Linked DNA regions of Drosophila melanogaster. The protein of the gene in region 1 interacts with the protein of each later gene in a pairwise test. Each region holds a gene or a part of one and is shown on either strand. Other genes may lie near its edges. The genes, in order: Rab19 and GCC88.

What was found.
Region 2: the proteins of Rab19 (region 1) and GCC88 interact in a two-hybrid assay, tested with the Drosophila melanogaster proteins (one study listed by BioGRID).

What each region holds. Positions count from the first base shown.
Region 1 is NT_037436.4:8,295,031-8,299,017, forward strand, and holds Rab19 (Rab19), read left to right. Parts: upstream 1-1,987; 5' UTR 1,988-2,059; intron 2,060-2,138; exon of another isoform or gene 2,139-2,181; 5' UTR 2,182-2,229; coding exon 2,230-2,442; intron 2,443-2,504; coding exon 2,505-2,589; intron 2,590-2,784; coding exon 2,785-3,041; intron 3,042-3,089; coding exon 3,090-3,194; 3' UTR 3,195-3,476; downstream 3,477-3,987. Other genes in the region: Arl5 (ADP-ribosylation factor-like 5), read right to left, coding at 3,721-3,987.
Region 2 is NT_033777.3:11,227,392-11,232,260, reverse strand, and holds GCC88 (GRIP and coiled-coil domain containing 88 kDa), read left to right. Parts: upstream 1-1,660; 5' UTR 1,661-1,811; coding exon 1,812-1,893; intron 1,894-1,946; coding exon 1,947-3,771; intron 3,772-3,839; coding exon 3,840-4,020; 3' UTR 4,021-4,090; downstream 4,091-4,869. Other genes in the region: Dph3 (diphthamide biosynthesis 3), read right to left, coding at 1-67, 137-244; CG17187 (uncharacterized protein), read left to right, coding at 553-1,452; CG17726 (uncharacterized protein), read right to left, coding at 4,091-4,869.

The DNA.
Region 1 (3,987 bases):
TAGTTGTTTGCAAAAATCTACCAAACTGGTCAGGCTGCCCGTGTCCTAATTTCCGCTGGAAAATCCTCCTTCCTCTTTCCACAAAGTTCAATGCTAGAGATCAAGCGTATGTTATTCTACTAGGCAGCGATGTCAGCACGTTTTTCACTTTTTAAACGGCGCTTGGCAATCCTTGTGGTCGAAGGAAAAGCGCTTCTCAAACCCTCAATGGATTTTACGACTTTGGTTTTCGATTTTTTTTTTTTCGGGACACGATCCGACGACCGCGCGCGCAAACGTTTGAAATTCAACTGAAACGGCCAGCGGTCGAGGCGAACGATAAAAAGCAACGACGAACGGGCCAAACTTCAATGCAAAAGTGAGGCCGAGAATTCCGGGGCCTTTCAGGCGGCATCCAGGGGGAAGTAGTCGGGCAGAAGCTACCCGCCAGCCAAAACGGCAAACCAGTCAGCCAGGCCAGCAAAAAAAATTCGTTTGATCTGGTCTTTGTGTTTCTGAGGAGCTGCTCTGTGTGAAGTTGCAAATTCGCTGTTTGATTTCCTTTTGCTAGCGACGAAAATCTCAACATGCGGGGGAATGAAACTCTTCGCTGGGAGATGGGAGTAGGTCTAGCCTCGAGCATTTTCCAGCATTCCTGTGACTCATCGCCATCGTGAGGGCTATCCTGACTCGGAACTAGGTTGCGGTTGCAGCTCCAGGGAGCAGTCAATTAATTTCTCTTCAAAGTGTAACAAGAAAAAGTGCGGCAGATATATATGTAAATACACAAAAATACTAATATTGTAACTTTGTTCTATAGAATATAACCATTATAAGTATAAACTTACATACTAACAATTTTGGATTTCTTAATATCTTTAAATATAAAGATTAAACCACGAGAACACAATTGTTATAATGCTAATTTCTGAGATCAATCAGTTTTAGATATATTCTCCATGCTTTCCGACACTTAAGGATCGGTATAACCATTAGAAATGCGACTGATGATAGCCAGAGCTAAAGACCCTGTTTTTTGCCTGTGTGGACGATGTTCATCAGCATGGGGCTAATCGTGGGACAAGTTCTCGGCCAGACTTTGGCCCCCAGATCGGCAGTTAAACTTTCCACGCGAAATGGATGCGACAGTGCGTGTGCGCAGGCGCATCAGGCATGCGGTTTCCAATTCGTTTGGCAATCGAAGCAGTTGGTCAGCTTATTTGCATTCGGTGAGATACATAGAACATGTTTCCCAGCCGCTTCCGCTGCGGTTTGAAAGTGAGTCTCGTTTCGCTGCCTAGAGATAGAAGTTGATATGTGGGTCAAGGTCTGCATTTTGCGTACATTATTTTCATGGGGAAAACCCGAGGAATTTCTTCGAAACACATCGTAAATATTTACAGACCCATAAAGCCAGCTCTTTAGCGTCAAATGGCGCCATCATCAATGTACGTGGTGAAAATTTATTGGAGTCCCATGCGTTATCAGAAAGCCTGACCTACGTGATCGCCGCATTAATCGGGGCAAGTACCTCAATTCACATGGACTTACACGCAAGAGGGCTTTCCATTTGTGAGTCAATTAAATAAATTGTCAACATATTTAGTGCTTTATTGCGTAATGATAAAATCAGCCCAATAGATTTCCCTTGCTAATCCATCAGTGAGAGTTGGCATTTGCGATTTGGAAAATTGTGTAAATTCGTTTTGTCCAAATTTAAAAAGAGAAAATCCAATATAATAAAATAAAATTGTTTATTTACATTCCTTGGCCACTATTTTATTATAGATAACAATAATGAACTTTAATTTAACAATTCTAAAAAAGTAGAGTATGTGTAACTTGAACGAAATACAACGTAGCCATCCAAATATAGTGCAAATTAAATAAATCGTAATATTTTAAATCAGTAAAACATTTGAAAATACGCTTTCGATTTTATTTGGTGATGAGAAAACCTAACGGTCGATGTCACATGTAAAATGGAATATCGATATATGAGCTTCGCAGTATATATAGCAAGCTAAACAGAATAATATAAACTAAAATTAGTACATATAAATTAGTCAAATAAAAACCTGTAAGTAAAAGTATAGTATTATTTTACCCCTATATCGATAGGTCAACTATCGACTGCCAACAGCTGATATTGCGTATCAATAAAATTAGTTTTGCTTCACTTTGTTGTCATTGGAAAAGCAGGGCAGCAGGCAAAAGAGACCAGTTAACGGCCAGAACGGCGGCCAAAAGATGACCGCCCGCAATCCTCAGACACTGATGGCACTGCCAAACGAGGAACACTTCGACTTCCTGTTCAAGATCGTCCTCATTGGTGACTGCGGGACGGGGAAGACCTGCATAGTGGACAGATTTAAGACAGGGAACTACATAGAGCGACATGGGAACACCATCGGAGTGGACTTTTCGATGAAGACCATCGCCGTGGAGGGCAAACAAATCAAGGTGCATAACGGATTTGCCCAGATCCCGCCACTAATATGACTCATATTCTGCCCCTCTTCCAGCTACAAATCTGGGACACTGCTGGTCAGGAGAGGTTTCGCACTATTACGCAGAGCTATTATCGCTCGGCCAACGGGGTCTTAATTGGTGAGTCCCAGTATGGGTATCTTTTGTTTCGTCGGGCATAGGCATACGCCCATCCATTTGTCATGCCAAATAGGTACTACTGATAACCAGAGAACGCTTTAAAGTGATTGCCTGGCACTGATTTGAATAGCGAAGCGCCTTATCAGCGGGGTGTTTGTTTACCCTACTTGAATACCATGTGTTTCCTCCTGACAGTTTACGACATCACCAAGCGGTCTTCCTTTTCCAATCTGCAAAAATGGATCGAAGAAGTGCGTAGATACACTGCTTCTAATGTTTTGATAATCCTCGTGGGCAACAAGTGCGATTTGGAGGAGCAGCGCGAGGTGGACTTTGAAGAGGCGCGCCAGATGTGTCAATATATACCTGAGATCCTGTTCGTGATGGAGACCTCCGCCAAGGAGAACATGAACGTGGAGGACGCCTTCCGCTGCCTGGCCAACGAACTTAAAGTACGATTCCGGCTATTGTTACCTAAGCTAATGATGTTCCAATTACAGCGCCAACACGATGCCAACAATGTGGAGGAGGTGCCAGAAAACACCATCACCTTGGGCCAGGGAAAGCCTTTAAAGAGTTGCAGCAGCTCATGCAATCTCACCTAGACCTAAATCCGCTCTTTAGTTTGCTTTTACTTTTGTGATCAAATTGTTCTTGTGGCTATATATTAGTATTCTAATGCTTTAACCTAATCCTAGACACTAACTTTTACACAACCATGTATTTATTTTTGACGATAGAGTACAAACAATCTCACACATCAGCGAATCGAGCCAACAATGTCAATTACAAGGCAATGCTCAGAGAGGCAAATACGTCCACTTCTCTATTTGTAATTTGTATTCAATTTGATATGCGACAGTGTCGAAATAAACTCGTTTATTTTGTAATTTTATTGGAAGTATCGTAGTTAAATTGGCTTAGCTCCTAGACATTATCCATATACACGTAGATTTAAATCATCGAGGGACTCCTGTTCGGACGTATTTTACACTAAATAAAATTGGCTTGGCAACAACTTTTCAAACAATTTGGAAACGCTTAAAAATTGTTTATATCAAAATTGGTTTACTTTCTCTAGACAGCTAGTCGTTAATGATTAATTAGCTAATATGTAGCATGTGTGGCGGGTCATTTGTTCTTGATGCGCTGCACGATCCACTCTAATCCTTGATAGAGTCCTTCGCCGGTGAGCGCACAGCAGGCCTGGATGTGCCATTGGTGCTTCTTGATGGAGGTGAGGTCCAGTTGTCGTGAGATTTCCGCCGCCGACATAGAGCCCTTGAGATCCTGCTTATTGGCATAGACCAGCAAACTGGCCTTGCTCAGATCCTCATGTTGCAGCATCCGGTAGAGCTCTTCCCGCGTAACAGCTAACCGTTCCCGGTCCGTGGAGTC
Region 2 (4,869 bases), on another chromosome or scaffold:
ATATGACCTTGATGACTAGGGAGCAGCTGGGACAGGTGGCCACCTCCTCGCCCTCGATTAGCTCCTCCTAAAGTGGAAATTTACCAAGTGATATGGGGAGTCCAGAAAAAAAAAGGTTGCGTATACGACTCGTTACCTTGGAGATCTGAAATCGATCGCCGCATGGACAGGGATAGTAGTACATCTCCTCCTCCTCGTCGTACTCGAAGTCCTCGATCTCCACCTCGTCGTGATAGATGCTCATGACGTACCTTCAGCTTAATTCAGCGCCTAAAGGTCATATTATATTTGAGTTTTTTTTGCGATAACTTAGATTAATCCACGCCAAACAAATGGGCACGTTGTGTTGCGGGGCTGCCAACTCGTTGCAGCGAACAGCTGATCCAGTAAACAATTGCAAATGTTTTATTTGGACATTTTTGGACCGCCGGCTGCAGTTGTGAAATAAGTCTCGTATAAAATAGTATATTTTAGCTAACTTTTGCCCAAAAAAGACAAACTGCAAAACAAACCCATGTTCCAGTTGTTGAATAAGGAGTAAAATAAGACTAAATGGCTAGCAAAAAGTACAGTGACGTGAATCTTTACGATCTTCTGGGCATTTCTCTCGAGTCTGATCAAAATGAGATACGCAAGGCGTACCGCAAGAAGGCCCTCGAGTGCCATCCCGACAAGAATCCGGACAATCCGAAGGCAGTCGAGCGCTTCCATGAGTTGTCCAAGGCTCTGGAGATCCTCACGGATGAATCCGCGCGCGCAGCTTATGACAAAGTGCTGAAGGCCAAGAAGGCGGCGGAGCTGAGGAGTCGCCAACTGGACGGGAAGCGGCAGAAGCTGAAGCTGGAACTGGAGGAACGTGAACGGGCGGCACTGCACAAACTGGCGAAGAGCCAACCCTACAGCACGGTGGCCAAAAGCGACGAGGAGGTGCTGCATGAGCAGATCGAGCGGTTGCGACGCGAGGGCTCCCGTCTGCTGGAGGAGGAGCAGCGAGCCATGCAGGAGCAGTTCCGGCGGAATCACGCGGAGCAACAGAAACTGCAGCAACAGCCGGTCCAGTTTGATTCCGCCCAGCATCGCATCAAGATGAAGTGGAAGGCCGAACCTGGCCAGGATTACACACAGCAAGAGCTGCTCAAGTATCTGAAGAAGTACGGCGACGTGGTGGCCCTGGTGGTCAACAGCAAGCGACGCGGACGCGCCATGGTGGAGCTGGCCACGCGCGAAGCCTGCGACATGGTCTTGGCCTACGAAAAAGGCGATCCCGCCAAGCCGCTGCACTTCGAGTGGGTAACGCCGCCGGCGGCAGACAAGCAGACAACCAAATCGGCCACCACTGGGTGCAGTGCGTCATCCACCGACTACGAGGACCTGGTCATGCGAAAGCTGCGCCAAGCTGAGGAACGTAAGAGACTCATTGAGCAGATGATGAAGGACGAGGAGGGCGAATGAAATAAGATTTAGTTAGGCTCAACATTTAATTTACTTTAATTGGACTAATATTAATGTTTGAAAATATCTCAATTTAGCAACTATGCAGCTGATTTATAATACATTTACATTTAAAATAGTTTTTAATTTATGTAAATTTGGTTATTAATTATTTTTTGAAAAACCGCAAAAATAAAAAAAAGTTTAAATCAGAATGATGGCAATTTTTAGTGCCTGAGCAAACATGACAAGTTGGCAGGCCCGCGTGCCAGCTGCTGAAATTTGTTAATTAAAAGAAATGCAAAAATGACACGGGAGATAAATAAATTGAACTACTAAGCGAACTGAAAGTAAATGAACTAATTCCCTTTCAAGGCGAAATGGAGAAGCGACAGAGGGAGCTGGAGGCGCTGGTGTCCACCCAAAAGGAGCAACTGGGGCGCTATGAAAAGCGTCTAAAAGGTGAGACATAGATGAATTCGCAATGCAAATGGATTAATGAGCCCAATTTGTAGACGTGGTCACTGCCTACAAGGGTCTGCTTAAGGAGAAGGAGGCATTGGAGACGAGTCTGGCGGCGCATGCGGAGGCCACGGCGGTGGGCGAGTCCGGATCGCCGGCCAGGGAGTTGGAGTCCAAAAAAACCAGCACCGACTCTGCGGATGGAGCAACCGAGGGCGCTGCACCGGGTCCGCCTGCTCCCCCGGCCGAGGGTCAACTGCAGACCCAAATTATCACCCTGATGAACTCGCTGGCCACTCTTTCCGCTGAGAAATCCCGCATGGAGGCCTCCTTTCAGGCGGATAAAAAGCAACTGCGCAGCCAAATCGCCCAAAAGGAGCAGACCATTCAGGAGCTTAATACCCGGGCCAAGGAGCAGGCTGCTCGGGCCAAAAGCGACGTGGACGAGATCAAGGCCAAGTGGATCGTGGAGCGACAGGAGCGCGAGAAAGAGACCAACAACCAAATGCTCATGATCCGCGAACTGCAGAAACTCTATGCGGACGAGCGGCATCTAAAGGACAACATTGAGATGCAGTTAAACAACTTCAAGACCCAGTTCGCCAGCAACGAGGCAGAGAATAGCCGGCTACGGGAATTGCAATCCCAGCTAAAGGAGGCTCGCTCCCAGCTGAAACAGTTCCAGGCCAAGACCGAGCACTCTGCAGCAGCGTCAGCGAGTGCGGACAGCGCCGCTCTCCTTCAGCAAGTGCGCCTTGAGATGCAGCAACTGAAGGAGCAGCATGCAGTGGCCATTCGTCAGGAACAGCGTCGCGTGCTGCGTGCCGAGGAACAGAGTCGCAGGCAGGCGGCGCTGCACGAGGATCGCGTGGCCAGTCTAGAGGCACGCCTGGCGGAGCTCAGCACCACTGTCGGCAGCTACGACCGCCTGCGTCAGCAAGATCAGGACAGCATCCATGATTTGAAGCAGCAGCTGCAGGATCTAGAGCAGGCACATGTGCGTCCAACATCCAATTCAAGGGCGCTAAACGAAGATGTGGACGTAGCCACGCTGGTTGACGAGATGGTGCGCTTGAAGAAACTGCTTACCACAGCCAATGCCCGTTCTGCCAATCCACTGGATCTCGGGGAGATCCTATCATTTAGCGGCCAAACAGCTACCCGAGTCGAGAGTCACGCCCACTGCGAGCAACAGCTTCAGGGTGTGCAGCAAATGCTCGAGGCATCCAAGCAGCAGCGACAGCTACTCGAACAGAAGGTGCAGCTGCAGCACTCGCACATCCAAACGCTGCAGGAGAAGGTGCAGGTGCTCAATCGCAACATCGACGAGGCGGAAGTCGAACTAAAGCAGCAGGGCGAAAAGCTGCGCCTGGCATTGAAGAACGAACGAACCAAGTGGCAGGAAGCCAAGGCTGAACTGGAGAACGAGACGCGCTGCAAACTGAACGAGCTGGAACAGCTACTGCAGAAGCAGCGCCAGAGGTCACTGCAGCTGCTGGATGAGAAGGAGCAGGAGATTAAGACACTGCAGACCTCCTTCGAGGTCTTTCACTCGGCCAGCGGTGTGGGCAGCACACTGGCCACACCCACACTTGAAGCAGCTGCCGATTCCTTTCACTATTCCTCCGACACCGACAGCGTGGAGGGGGAGCAGCGGGAAAGAAAGCTAAAGGTGCGCTCCAAGAAAATGTCGATGGGCGAGAACTGCCACATGCTGCACTATGCCAACGAGTTGGCGCGCAAGGACATCGAAATCACGACACTGCGGAAAGCCAAATACGCCGCCGAGTCGACGCTGCGAAAGGCGATCCAGGACAAGGTGACATCTCAGCAGGAAATGCACGAGAAGATCGAGTGCCTCAAGGAGCAGGTGGACAGGTGCGTCGTTGTCGTTGTTATCGTTGTTGTCTTAGAAAGTCATGCCACGATCTCTACTCCCATTCTAGACTCGAACGTTGCAAGACGCGCGAGGGTGCCAATCTGGAGTACCTGAAGAACGTTATTATCAGCTACATTGTTACCCGGGACGCGGACGGCAAGCGTCACATGCTGAACGCCATCTCGGCGGTGCTCCAGTTCACCGCCGCAGAGATGCAGGCGATCAATGCATCATTCCAGAAGAAATAACATTCGTACTTTTGTTCAACAATCATGTGCAACATATTTAAAACCCTACAAACAGATCCTAAATAGATAACTAACTAAATCCGACGACTGGGTATTTGTCTAGGTGGGCAGCTAGCACGCCGGGAAACATGGCCAGGAACTTAAAGCGAGTGCCCATCTGGGCTGGATCCGTGAGCATCTCGTAGCCGGAGCGAATGATCTCCTGGTTTTCGGGCAGCGCATGTGCCAACAGTTGCTCCAGTCGAGCCTCACCCTGCATTCGCTGCAGGAACAGTCCCTGCTCCACGGGACCGCAGCAGTGGACATTTCCGCGTGTCTCGGCAATGTGCCGCACTAGCTTGAAGTCCACATCGGCCGTGAGATCAGCACTGCCCGGCTCCACCAGCGGATCGTGCAGCTTGTGCTGCTTGAAGGCCCGGAAAGTGTCGGTTTTCTCGCCAAAATGGCCATAATCCATGATTAGAGCGATGCCGCCATCCCGTTCGATGCGCTCGGCGAGCAGTCCCACCTGTCGTTCCGTCTCCAGGGAGTGCTCCAAACAGGATCGTGTCTCGCCGGGCAGCGGTCGATAAAGACTCGAAACGGGTGTTTGGCTACGTGAGAGCACATATCGGAAGCTAGCTTCTTGTGCGCCATCAGAGGATGCCACATCGATGAGCACCTCCTGCCACTTGCCATCTACGAGTTGGAGCTTGTGCACAGGCAGGGCGTCGAAGAACTCGTGGGCGAGAACTAGGGAGAATCCCTGGGGCACATCCTCTAGCCGACGGTGCCAGAATGCCTTCGTTCCACTGGCCGTTGTGCCCTCCTGGTAATGGGGCAACTGTGCGTCCTCCGGCAGGGTTTGGT